3 linked regions of the Oryzias latipes genome follow. The protein of the gene in region 2 purifies or fractionates together with the protein of the main gene of each other region. This does not show direct contact. Links are inferred from orthologs where the notes say so. Each region holds a gene or a part of one and is shown on either strand. Other genes may lie near its edges. The genes, in order: ddb2, cops8 and dcaf1.

Region 1 (3,756 bases), on a different chromosome or scaffold from region 2:
ATGCAACGACATAAGACAACTGCTGAACTGAGACTTGAAACCGAGGGCTTGAGCAACTTCGATTCTGAGAAGCAACAACTCGTTTTCCCAACTATCCAACTACTCTGCGCTGAAGTCCATCAATCAGAGAGTGGAGGCACAGCTGGAAAACAAGTATAGAATGGCAGTTCTTGGGTACTAGAGTTGGGCAGCCATGTTTAGACAAAGAGGACTCATATGTGCTAGAGCAACTTCTTGGAATTGTCGCACTTGACTGTGGAAGCACTGCGTATCCCCTATAGCTGAGCTGTCCAGCTGAGTGGGATGTTACAGTTTTTCTCAGTCGCTTTAGTACAATTCTCAGATCAGAATGAAATTCCCAAAACTATTTGTTCAATCTTCACATCATGATGTCACTTGTGCACATCATATAAGCAGTTTCTCACTTCTATGAACAAGTTGCAATTGCTTTGGTACATTCATGCAAATGATTATGTACAATTCTCTGCTCTTTGCTACATTATCAATTGTTTATGTCATGTTGATCAAAATGTATTATATAGTTCACTGTGCAATAGTCTTACTCCTCAAAACACCTAGTCATTAGTTCATCGTATAAGTCATTAACTGCAAAATGGTTGACCAAGTTGTCATAATGTGACAAACATATTTCGCTGCATTGCAAGCGAAGATATTCGCTGTGATGTGGATGAGAATTTGTGGCCTAACATACAGGAACGACAAGACGTGTCGGAAAACCACACCAATTCCTACTGCACTGCCTGTACTGTTGTACAGAATATTGTCCTATCTTTTTTTTCCCTTTGTGTTACTGTTTGCAGTGGGTTTTTTCTATGTTGGTATGACATGGTCTGTCAACAAATTACAATATGAATAATAAAAGTGTAAATGTGAATCTTGTCCAGTCTCTTGCAATCAAACAAAAAAGGTGTAACTTACGTTTTACAATAATTGTCATCAAAACTTTAGCCATAGTTTACATCAGAACCTCCCTCTAAAGTACACAGTTATATTGACAACATGACTAAGTCATTTGACTGTCTTGTTCGTAGACAATGACACAAGGACTTGACATTCTGATGGCACTGACATGTTCAATGACATAAAGACTTAGTTTTCAGAGATGAACTAAAGATTTTGAGCAAGTTACAGGCTTTTGCAAGAAATCCATAGTGTTTTGCTGTTTGTACAAATTGTTTTGAGAAATGCACACACATATTTGCAAACTTTAATTCTGATCTGAGAATTGTACTAAAGCGACTGAGAAAAACTGTAAGTGGTTAAGCCTATCAATCTAATGAGAAGAATGAAAAATGCATTGTCAAGTCTATCTAAAACATATGGTTGTGCAGAGTTGTGTGACGTTTTGCAAGCACGAACACACAAAAAGCTGAAATCCTGAAAGAAAAAAAAATCTTATGCAACTTCTTTGGTTAAAACTGTGCTTTTTCAGGAGCTCACCCCTTGGATGAAGCTTTTCTTTGTGGGCTTTTCAAAGTCCCAGAGAAAGATGTCTCCACCTTTGGAGGCTGCTGCTAGTGTGGTGGGATGGGTGGGGTGCCACTCCAGACAGGTGATTCTGCGATCGAAGGGGCTGGTAGCACCATGGAAATGATAGGCGGAGAGAGAGCGGACAAAGGGCTCCTGAAGACACTGCAAGAGGCAACAGCAAAAAGAAAAAAAACCCAACAACATTCCATCATTTCAGATAGAATATTCAGAATCTGTTTTTAAACCACCAATTAAAAAGAATAAATACAAAAGTCTATAACTATTTTTTTTTTTATCATTTGTGACCAAACTGATTGTTACTATTGGGTAAAATCCATAAAATGCATTAGGGATTTTTTTCTGTTTAGTAAAATTCTTCTTCTCCAATCAAGTCTTCAGACAGAAGCCTAGAGAAGAGGGCGCCTTGTTCATCAACTGGTCTGCCGTCTCTGTTCACTTCAATGCATTGATTTGCATTTGGGTTCCAGATTACACTTGACAGACTAAATCTGTTGTTGGTGCATTTTTATTATTGTTATTTTTAAAGCAGACAGCCCCCTCTTTCTGTCCATACTGACTTACCTGTCTCATCTGAGAATGCAGACTTTGGCCTAGACTGTTCCTGTAAATGTAGTGCAGGATGCTGTTATGGCCATTTCTCCTCTGAGCTGTATGGGGCTTGACAGGTGGACGCTCTGCAGTGAAATTCATTCAAATCAGGATGATGACCTCAGAGTAAACTCATGCAGTCCCGTTAGTACTGCTCACCTGGCTCAGAGGTCTTCACTTCTATCTTTTCCTTTAATTTTTTGGAGAGTGATGCTCCAGAGTCTGCTTCAGTTCTTTTTTTCACTTGACTCTTTGGTCCATTTTCACCTGGTTTCGTGTTCTTCCTTCTTTTCATGTCTGTCAGAGTTCGACGATATGACACGAACAAAACCACTTCTGTGTACTTCTCTATCTTTCCTCTAGAAAACCCCGTAAATGTGCAGTTTACCTGTAATTGTGGAAGAGAACCGCCTTAATCTAAAGTCTATGTTTGCATAACACGGAAGCGCACGTGACTAATGGCAGCAGATGTTTTGTAACTTCAGCCCATGACAGCTGGTGCGCGATAGATGGCGCTGTTTATTTACAAATTCTCCCTTTTTTCAAGAAACTTTATTTAAAAACTTGATACAATACAACAGACTAAAGAAAACGCTACACACTGTGAAACTTGCACATCATCAGTCAACAGTACAATTAAAATGTTTTTGTGTGTGTGCATTTTTAACTGGACAATTTGATGTAAGATTTTAAGTTAAACCTATTTTAGTTAATTATCAATTCTGAATTTCTGAATGGTATATAGTTTTAGCATTTTCCAAATTAAAAATCACCCATTATTAAATGCAACAACAACAATAATAATAGTAATAATAATTGTTATTAGTATTATTAAGATAGATAGATAGATAGATAGATAGATAGATAGATAGATAGATAGATAGATAGATAGATAGATAGATAGATAGATAGATAGATAGATAGATAGATAGATAGATAGATAGATAGATAGATAGATAGATAGATAGATAGATAGATAGATAGATAGATAGATGGATAAACTACACTTGCATCAGGTGGAACTAAACAAACGTTTGATTTCATATATAGCATGCAATGGTGCATTCCCCTGTTTATTTGAAAACATTTTTTTCTGAAAGGCTCCGAGTTATGTCATATTAGCTCAACATGCCTAAAAAAGTAGTCAAATTTGAATAATTTAAAAACTTTAAGACAAGCAACCAACAAAGCTAATCTTTAAAAAAATTACACAAAGTGCAAAACATCATAATGCAGCATGTCCATAAACAGGAGAACAACTGCCATATGAAAATGTATTATGTCGTGTTTCAGCAACAGGCAAAAATAACATTCTTTATGTACATATCAGTAAATTAATTCACAAACCTACCCAAAATGCAACATAAGCATACTAGAATTACAGTCTTTTTTCATGGTAAACGTTCGCTCCTTCTAATATTTGATTAGTTTTCTTACTTTTATAAATTTACTTTTATTTTTTAAAAAAGTAATTGACTACATCGACTGCTGCGTGTTTGCAAAAATATTTTTGGAATTTGGTCAACTCGGAAGTGACGCAACACACTCGTGTTCCTTGTTCTGAGATCCTATTGGCGGTTGTGGGATTTGAAAAGTTCTCTGGCGAGAGGCTGAGTCGGGAAGATTCAAAATTTGAGCAACAACTGGAATCGAAAG
Region 2 (3,756 bases):
AACACATTCATTCTCAGGGTTTTATATTTCAAGGGCTTATCACATAATAAAGGGCTTTGTATTCTTATACCTACTTTTAAGTATTACTTATATTTTATTATGTTTTTGGAAACAGAGCGAACTGACCAGTGAGCATTTTAAATGACAATGACTATAATTATTCTATTCTAACTTTAACAAAAAGTAAAATACACAGGATGTCAATCAAGGGCAACAATGTAAGACCATGTGAAGAACTACAGACACATCTTTCAAGTATTTTCTCTTGCAAATAATTAAATGTAGAAGACATAGTGTCCTAATACAGTAAAAACATGTAATGTGAATACTTTGGCACTGGATAAAGATCATGTTGGTGTGTGAGCCCCGTGTCCTCAGCAGATGTTACCCAAGAGTGTCATGACTGTCTGTTTTTCAGCATGAATGGCAGATCAACAGCAAGCACCATAAACACCCAGAGAAGCTATTCTTAAACTCTGGCACAAACATCACATGACAGCAACACCTCAGTCTTCAGCCCGTCAGAATAAAAGCCGTAAGAAAATCCATCCGTATCAAAAACTGAGCGTGTAAGAAAATAAGCAAATATTCCATAAAGTGGACATAAAGCATCACAATTGGCCCTTCAGCTGTCACAAAGTCCAACTGGGGTATTTCTTATCCAATGAAAATCCTGAAGTCACTTTAGCAAACCCACAAGAGGAGCTTCCTGTTCCACACCAACCCCAGAGCACAATGTATGAACAGTACTAACTTTGCCTTAATTAGTGGTTTGTAGAAGAAATGATCAGATCATCTTAAAGAACTTAAATCAAGTCCTGATTTTTGTAATTACCTCGAAGGGCCTCCATGACTGGGAGGATGTTTTCCGACCACTGGTGAGCTTCAATGGCTGAGTAGATCCCTGGAAAGTCTCTCTGCCAAATGTGCTGGCCTACGGTCCAGATCGCTGTGAGCTCGGGGTTCGCCTGAATGGATCACAGAAAGACAAGTCCATGTTCCCGCACCGTTTCATGAAGGCAGGGGCTCTAAAAACCCCTGTAGGTGGACTAACACCTGAATACGGTGCCGTTTTTAAGACAGACAAACATCAGGAGTGTCTACGACTGAAGCCAGTCAGACTATTAGCAGCATAGAAAGAGAACAGTGACATCAGTAGAAGAAGTGGAGAGCAACTGGTACTTTTCATGAAATAAAGGGGAAAAAAAGGCCTTGTGATTACTCACCGATTTGATTACTTGTGGAACTCGCTTCCATAGATACCTGGCATTGTTCCTGTTAGACGCAATTCAACAGAAAGACATAAAGAGGACATTTGAGATGAGACATGCAGCTGCAGGCAGCAAAAATGGGATTCAACCGAACACAAACAAAGCTGTACAAAATCTTAGTCTCTCTTTTTTTAAAGATAGACATGTTTTAAAGCCTTGTGGTGTGAAGAACCCTTCTGAGTGAACGCTAAAGGACTTCCCTGAACACTGGCTCTAGTTCGTCTTTCTCTTTTGTTGTCCGGTTTGAATGCAGTCAGTGCATTGCTATGCTTGAACACTTGTGAGTGTAATGATGCTGAACAACAACAACAAAAAAAGGATTAACCTCAAAGGAGGCTGGGAAAAAAAGACTTTTGAAAACCTGAAACATTCAGAAACTCTTAGAATTCTTTCTGTGGAAAATCTATTCAGAGGAAGGCCTCGTTTTTTCAAGACAAATCGATGCATCTTCCAGAGGCTCGCGGGAGCGCGCACGCGCGCGCTTCACCCACATGTCGTTGTGGAGCAGGTAGAGGGCCAGCAGCTGCGCGTACACCTGCGGGGTGGCGATGCCTCCTGGCGCCTAGCAACAGCAGAGCGGGGAGGGGCAACGGGGGAGACAGGAGAAGCGAGTTAGTCTGAGCATGCGCGGACGTTGATCTTTCCTTTCTAGTTTTGAATGTAGTAAAGCCAGAGGCTAACTGAAGACAGTTTTAACGACATTTCTACACCGGGATATCCCACAGATTGCGCTTAGAATCGACAGCAGAGCGGATCCCGCGTCTGCACACATCGCTGAGTCTTTCTGTTCGTTCTGCCAACGACGTTCCGTTAGCGACGGCTAGGAGCCGGAGCGTCCTGACAGTTACATCGGCGCTAGCTAGCATCATTAGCCTCGGCCGTGGCTAAAACAGCCGAGGCGTCGCGCTGCCGCAGACGCGTCAGCGGCCCACTTCCCCGCATCACCCGGAAGCGTCTGCTCCTCACCTCAAGCTCCTGCGCCTCGCATTGCTCCTGTAATTTATCAAAGCTTTCCTCCATAGTCACAGCTGTAGGCATGATGACGCCTAGCCGAAGCGCCGGAGCTTCTTCTGTTGTAGGGATTCAAAGTAGAGCTTCCGGGGGAGCGACACACACTGCCCCCTGCTGGACGGAGTTTAAATGTATGGCTTTCTTCCAAGAAGAAAGAAGACTGTCGTGTCATACTGCCACCATCTACAGGCGTAAAAAAATATTTTCTGTAACAACTACCCTGAACAGTTTCTCTTACAAAATCCAAGGAAACAATCCTTTCTCTTTCTGTGCTGCCAGTTTCCAAAATAACATGGAAAAAATTCAAACGAGGATTTTTTCTCATCTTGTTTCTCATAGTTGAGGTTTACCTACCTATCATGAAAATTACAGGCCTCTCATCTTTTTAGGTGGGAGAACTTGAACAATTGTTGGCTGACTAGATTCGACCTGAATTCTTGAACTATTTTAATAAGATTAAATTCAAATGATGCAAATGAACAGTTGAATGTACAGTTTTATTGCAGTAATATTTTCATTAAATAAATATGAACCAAATTGACTGTGAATTCCACATTTGAAGACTACAAATAAAATAAAAGGTCTGCCCGCAAAATAAAAGTTGATCAACAATACATTTGGGTTCCTATGAAATGTTAAGTTTTATTCACTGTTAAATGCTCAACGTGAACTTCTAGATTTAAACTGTTTGAACAGGAAAACTTAACACAAACTGTTTTCTCTTTCAGTACAAACCTCTGTACTTTTAACACACACACACACACAAACTGCCATTTTAGAAATGATTCACTACAGAAGACTGAATAAAGAACTTCCCTGCACTAATGGGATGCTGATACTGAGATCTCGATTGCAGCAGAAAGGTCAGATCTGGCTCAAAGACTGCCCCCCTAGTGACAGACCCTCAGTCCCGTCCTCACGCGGTTCTTATTTAAGTTCATAACAGAGAATGTCTTCTCTCACAAGCATGGAGCCAAACAAGCTCAGGCATTTTCACAGCGAATCTTTGCGTCTGTTTAGAGCGGCCTATATCCAGTTCCAAGAGAGCTGGTGGTAAAACTTGACCAGAGGGAGCCGGTGGCCACTAAACATGAGACGCCACATGAACGTGCAGATGCAGCAGGTCCATCAAAAACCATTGGACTGTTGAAGGCATTCAAACCAAAAATTTAAAACACAAAATAAGACTTTATGCAGATGATGTTTACTATTTACTCCTAATTCACAATCTTCCATCTGCCAAATCATCTCCCTAATTAATAGATTTTCCTCAGTTTCAGAATACTCCATAAACTGGTCTAAAAGCACAATTTTACCAATTAATTGCAATTATCTAAATCCGTCATCTATTAAAATACAAACAGGCAACATAAAGTACTTAGGTATAAATATCTCCTCTAGGCTTTCTGATCTACTCAAGCTAAACCACACCCAACTACTTAAAACAACCGAGGCTGATCTCACTAGATGGAAA
Region 3 (3,257 bases), on a different chromosome or scaffold from region 2:
GCAGGTATAAGATCTGCTTCTCAGTTCAGATTTTATGAAAAAAAAAAAGTTTAACCTGATCTTCCTCATCCTCCTCCTCTTCTTCTGCAAGTCGCTGCCGGCCGACTTCATAGAGGCGACACACAGTGTCAGTGTTGACAGAGTCTTGGTTCTATTGAAAAGACAATAACATAGCTTATTTTTGGAAACTTAGGCAAGCCAAAAAGATTCTTTCAAAATATAGAATTTACCTCAATCACAGCCAGATAGCAGTCTTTTGTATCTGTGCAGAGGTCAAATATGTTCCTCTTCACATCTATAGTGGCTGCAAAAACAAATGATGTGTCACTTTCCTGAGAAATTCAAGTCTTTTTAAATCAAAGTCACATAAACATCATGATCAGCTTCTTTAGAAAATCTTACCAATGGGTTTGTAGTCTGTAGCATTAAAGGTCCTAAACGATGAGCCAAATGGACTTTTCATCTGCATTTCCATCATTTCATCTTCATCATCAGCTTGCAGCATAGCTACAAACAGACACAATGACAGACAAGGTTAGAAAACAAAGCAGCTGAAGCTTTTCTGCCCCATCTGCTAAATAATTTATTATTAATATTATTATTACTATTATTATTGGCAGAAAATTCAACTGAAAAGACACATTTTTGTTTTCTGACGTGCTGAATTTAATTTACTTTCTAAAGCATTTCTAAAAGAAATTCAACTGAAAAATAGAAGTGACAAACTTTCTTTTTCAAATAACAGCAGAATACATTTACCGTAACCATTAATTTAAAAAGAAAATTATTTTAAATTGACCATCTGTTTTACAAAATACATGCAATTATACATTTTAAAACAACTTTGGAATAACTTTTAATTGTCATTGCATAAGGCAAATCAAAAACCAAATGAATTAGAAATGCTAATATCAAGTGTCTTTTTCTTTGTGTTGTGATGTCAGATTTTCCAAAACTGGAGTTATTTAGATCTCTTCTCCTGTAAACAGGCCTGACAGTTTGTGGGACGGACGTGTTGAATCGATCCCCTGGTGATTTGTATACTTGCCTCCATAGATGACAGTCCCGCTGTTGTTGAAAACTATTCTGCACTGGTCCAGAGCAGGAACGGTGTGGAGGAGGTGGAAGGTGCGCAGATCCCACTAAAACTGGCAGTTAAGTGGCATAATATTCTTTTTTTTTCCCAGCCTTTGTTGACATTTTAATTTGCAAGCCACACATTTACCAGTAATGTTACAGCCGATTCTGGTTCAAGTGAAAGAAAAACAGTTTCATTTACCGCCTCAATTTAGGACTTCTGTGCATTTTTGCTGTCTAAAAAACATCTACCGTATTTTCCGCTATAAGTCGCCCCTTTTTTTCACAGTTTGGCAAGGGGTGCGACTTATACTCCGCAGCGACTTATATTAGAAATAAATTGAAATAAATACATTGTTAACCCTCCTGTTATGTTCATTTGTGAGGAACAGAGATGATGTTCCTGGCTCAATTTGATGTATGAGGTATGTTAAGTGTTAAGAGGATGTTAAGTGACTCAGAGAATCAGCAAACTTTTTTTACAGTAAGATCTTGAAGGCTAAGGACATAATCTATTTTCCAATGATTTCATAGATTCAGAAATGCAATAGAATTGACAACTGTTTCTACAAATACAGGATGAGAACAGAGTATTAGTTAGCCAATGATGCTTCATGAAAGGAATAAATAAATAAGTATGAGAAAGAATTACTGTGAAATTATGAGATAAACAGTCTGCTATGATTGTGTCATATGAGGTTGTGAAAGTTATTGTATCTTGGTCTCAGATTTTGTCAAATAAATTTTCCGTCAAAATGCGACTCCAGTGCGACTTATCTTTATTTTTTTCTAATTTATAATGCATTTTTGGGCTGATGTGACTTATACTCCGCAGCGACTTATAGTCCGGAAAATACGGGTATTATGTGTAAACTTATTTTGTAAAAAATGCAATATCATAGTCTTTCATGTTTAAAATGGATAATTATTACTCGTTTATCTTTCCAAAGCCTGAAAATTTTAATATATTTCAAAGTAAAGGATACAATCTCAGTGTTTATGATGACCTCCAAGCCATTGGGGTGAAACACGCCGCTGATATTCATGTTGAACTTGTCAAACTTGTGAATGGCCTGAGCTGTGCGCACATCCCAAAGCACTCCGTCGTTCAGCACCAGGTCGTCTGTTGGGTTAAAAGTAGCGCAGTTTTTCTTGTAGTTGTTAGCCAGGTCTGGGTTGTTGAGAGTAAGAGTGACCTGTCCGGTCTGGATGTCATAAATCTGGCACAGAAAAGAAAGAAATGTTCACCTTTTTACACTGCAATATTGTCTGCAATTGTATACATTCTTCTAGAAATTAATAAAAAGAAAGAAATGCTCAATTATACATACACGTGCTACATGTTCCTTTGTTCCAATGACACGATCTTGGGAAAGCTTACTGAACTCCACATAATGGTCCCCAAGGAAGGAATGCCTAAAAACAAAACACACACACAAACAACATTCCTGTCAGCCTTTTTAAAACATTAAAAACTTGTGAAGCAGAGAATTCTAAGCTTTTACTGGATGAAGAAACTGTAGTATTCCTGGGTTTTATTCACAGATTGCAGCAGCGGCCCTGACATTTTCTATGAGTTTTGTTAAGCAAAGTCAATATATTGGTACTACCAAATGAGAATCCCACAGCCGTATATTCATATTACTTTTTTTATTATTTATCCTTTTTTGCCTTTACCCCTTTACACTTTCTTATATACCTTCTTGCTTGGTTTGCCAGGAGCACAAGACACAGAAGCCAAATTCCTTGTATATGCACTGTACTTGGCCAATAAAGCGGATTCTGATTCTGGTTTAAAGCTGGTTAGTGTGTCAGGTTGATGAAAACACCACTCACTTCATGATGAACACCGATTTCATTCCCCACAGTGCAGACAAAGGATAACTCCAAGAGGCTGATGTCAAGAGGAGAGAACCATCCTAAAAAGAAACAATTATAAAAATATTGGAAACAGGTAAATATTTTAAAATCATTTTGAATTCCCTAAAAGTAAACGTCCATTATTTATATTTGGAAAATCTGCATTTTCAATGTATTAGGGTAACCTGAAATCATTCAATATAAAAATGTTTTCTTGTTCAAAATATTATTAGTGGATAAAAGCTGCCTGTTAAAAAGCACATTCTTATTTATGGATATTTGTTTGCATTTCTGCCTAAAAAGCACTATGAAGTAATTAT

What was found.
Region 1: the proteins of cops8 (region 2) and ddb2 purify together in Homo sapiens (affinity purification with mass spectrometry; 6 studies listed by BioGRID and IntAct, counting the BioPlex papers as one, with this or other methods). This does not show direct contact. The link is inferred for Oryzias latipes from reciprocal best matches to the Homo sapiens genes COPS8 and DDB2.
Region 3: the proteins of cops8 (region 2) and dcaf1 purify together in Homo sapiens (affinity purification with mass spectrometry; 4 studies listed by BioGRID and IntAct, counting the BioPlex papers as one, with this or other methods). This does not show direct contact. The link is inferred for Oryzias latipes from reciprocal best matches to the Homo sapiens genes COPS8 and DCAF1.

What each region holds. Positions count from the first base shown.
Region 1 is NC_019864.2:16,130,836-16,134,591, forward strand, and holds the start of ddb2 (DNA damage-binding protein 2), read right to left. Parts: upstream 2,709-3,756; 5' UTR 2,489-2,708; intron 2,398-2,488; 5' UTR 2,396-2,397; coding exon 2,260-2,395; intron 2,187-2,259; coding exon 2,074-2,186; intron 1,654-2,073; coding exon 1,462-1,653; intron 1-1,461.
Region 2 is NC_019879.2:1,339,875-1,343,630, reverse strand, and holds the start of cops8 (COP9 signalosome complex subunit 8), read right to left. Parts: upstream 2,370-3,756; 5' UTR 2,310-2,369; coding exon 2,238-2,309; intron 1,834-2,237; coding exon 1,763-1,833; intron 1,276-1,762; coding exon 1,227-1,275; intron 969-1,226; coding exon 836-968; intron 43-835; exon of another isoform or gene 1-42. UniProt on the Homo sapiens protein: Component of the COP9 signalosome complex (CSN), a complex involved in various cellular and developmental processes.
Region 3 is NC_019865.2:16,273,528-16,276,784, forward strand, and holds part of dcaf1 (DDB1- and CUL4-associated factor 1), read right to left. Parts: intron 2,997-3,257; coding exon 2,914-2,996; intron 2,494-2,913; coding exon 2,409-2,493; intron 2,298-2,408; coding exon 2,064-2,297; intron 1,143-2,063; coding exon 1,049-1,142; intron 508-1,048; coding exon 403-507; intron 305-402; coding exon 231-304; intron 152-230; coding exon 56-151; intron 1-55. UniProt on the Homo sapiens protein: Acts both as a substrate recognition component of E3 ubiquitin-protein ligase complexes and as an atypical serine/threonine-protein kinase, playing key roles in various processes such as cell cycle, telomerase regulation and histone modification.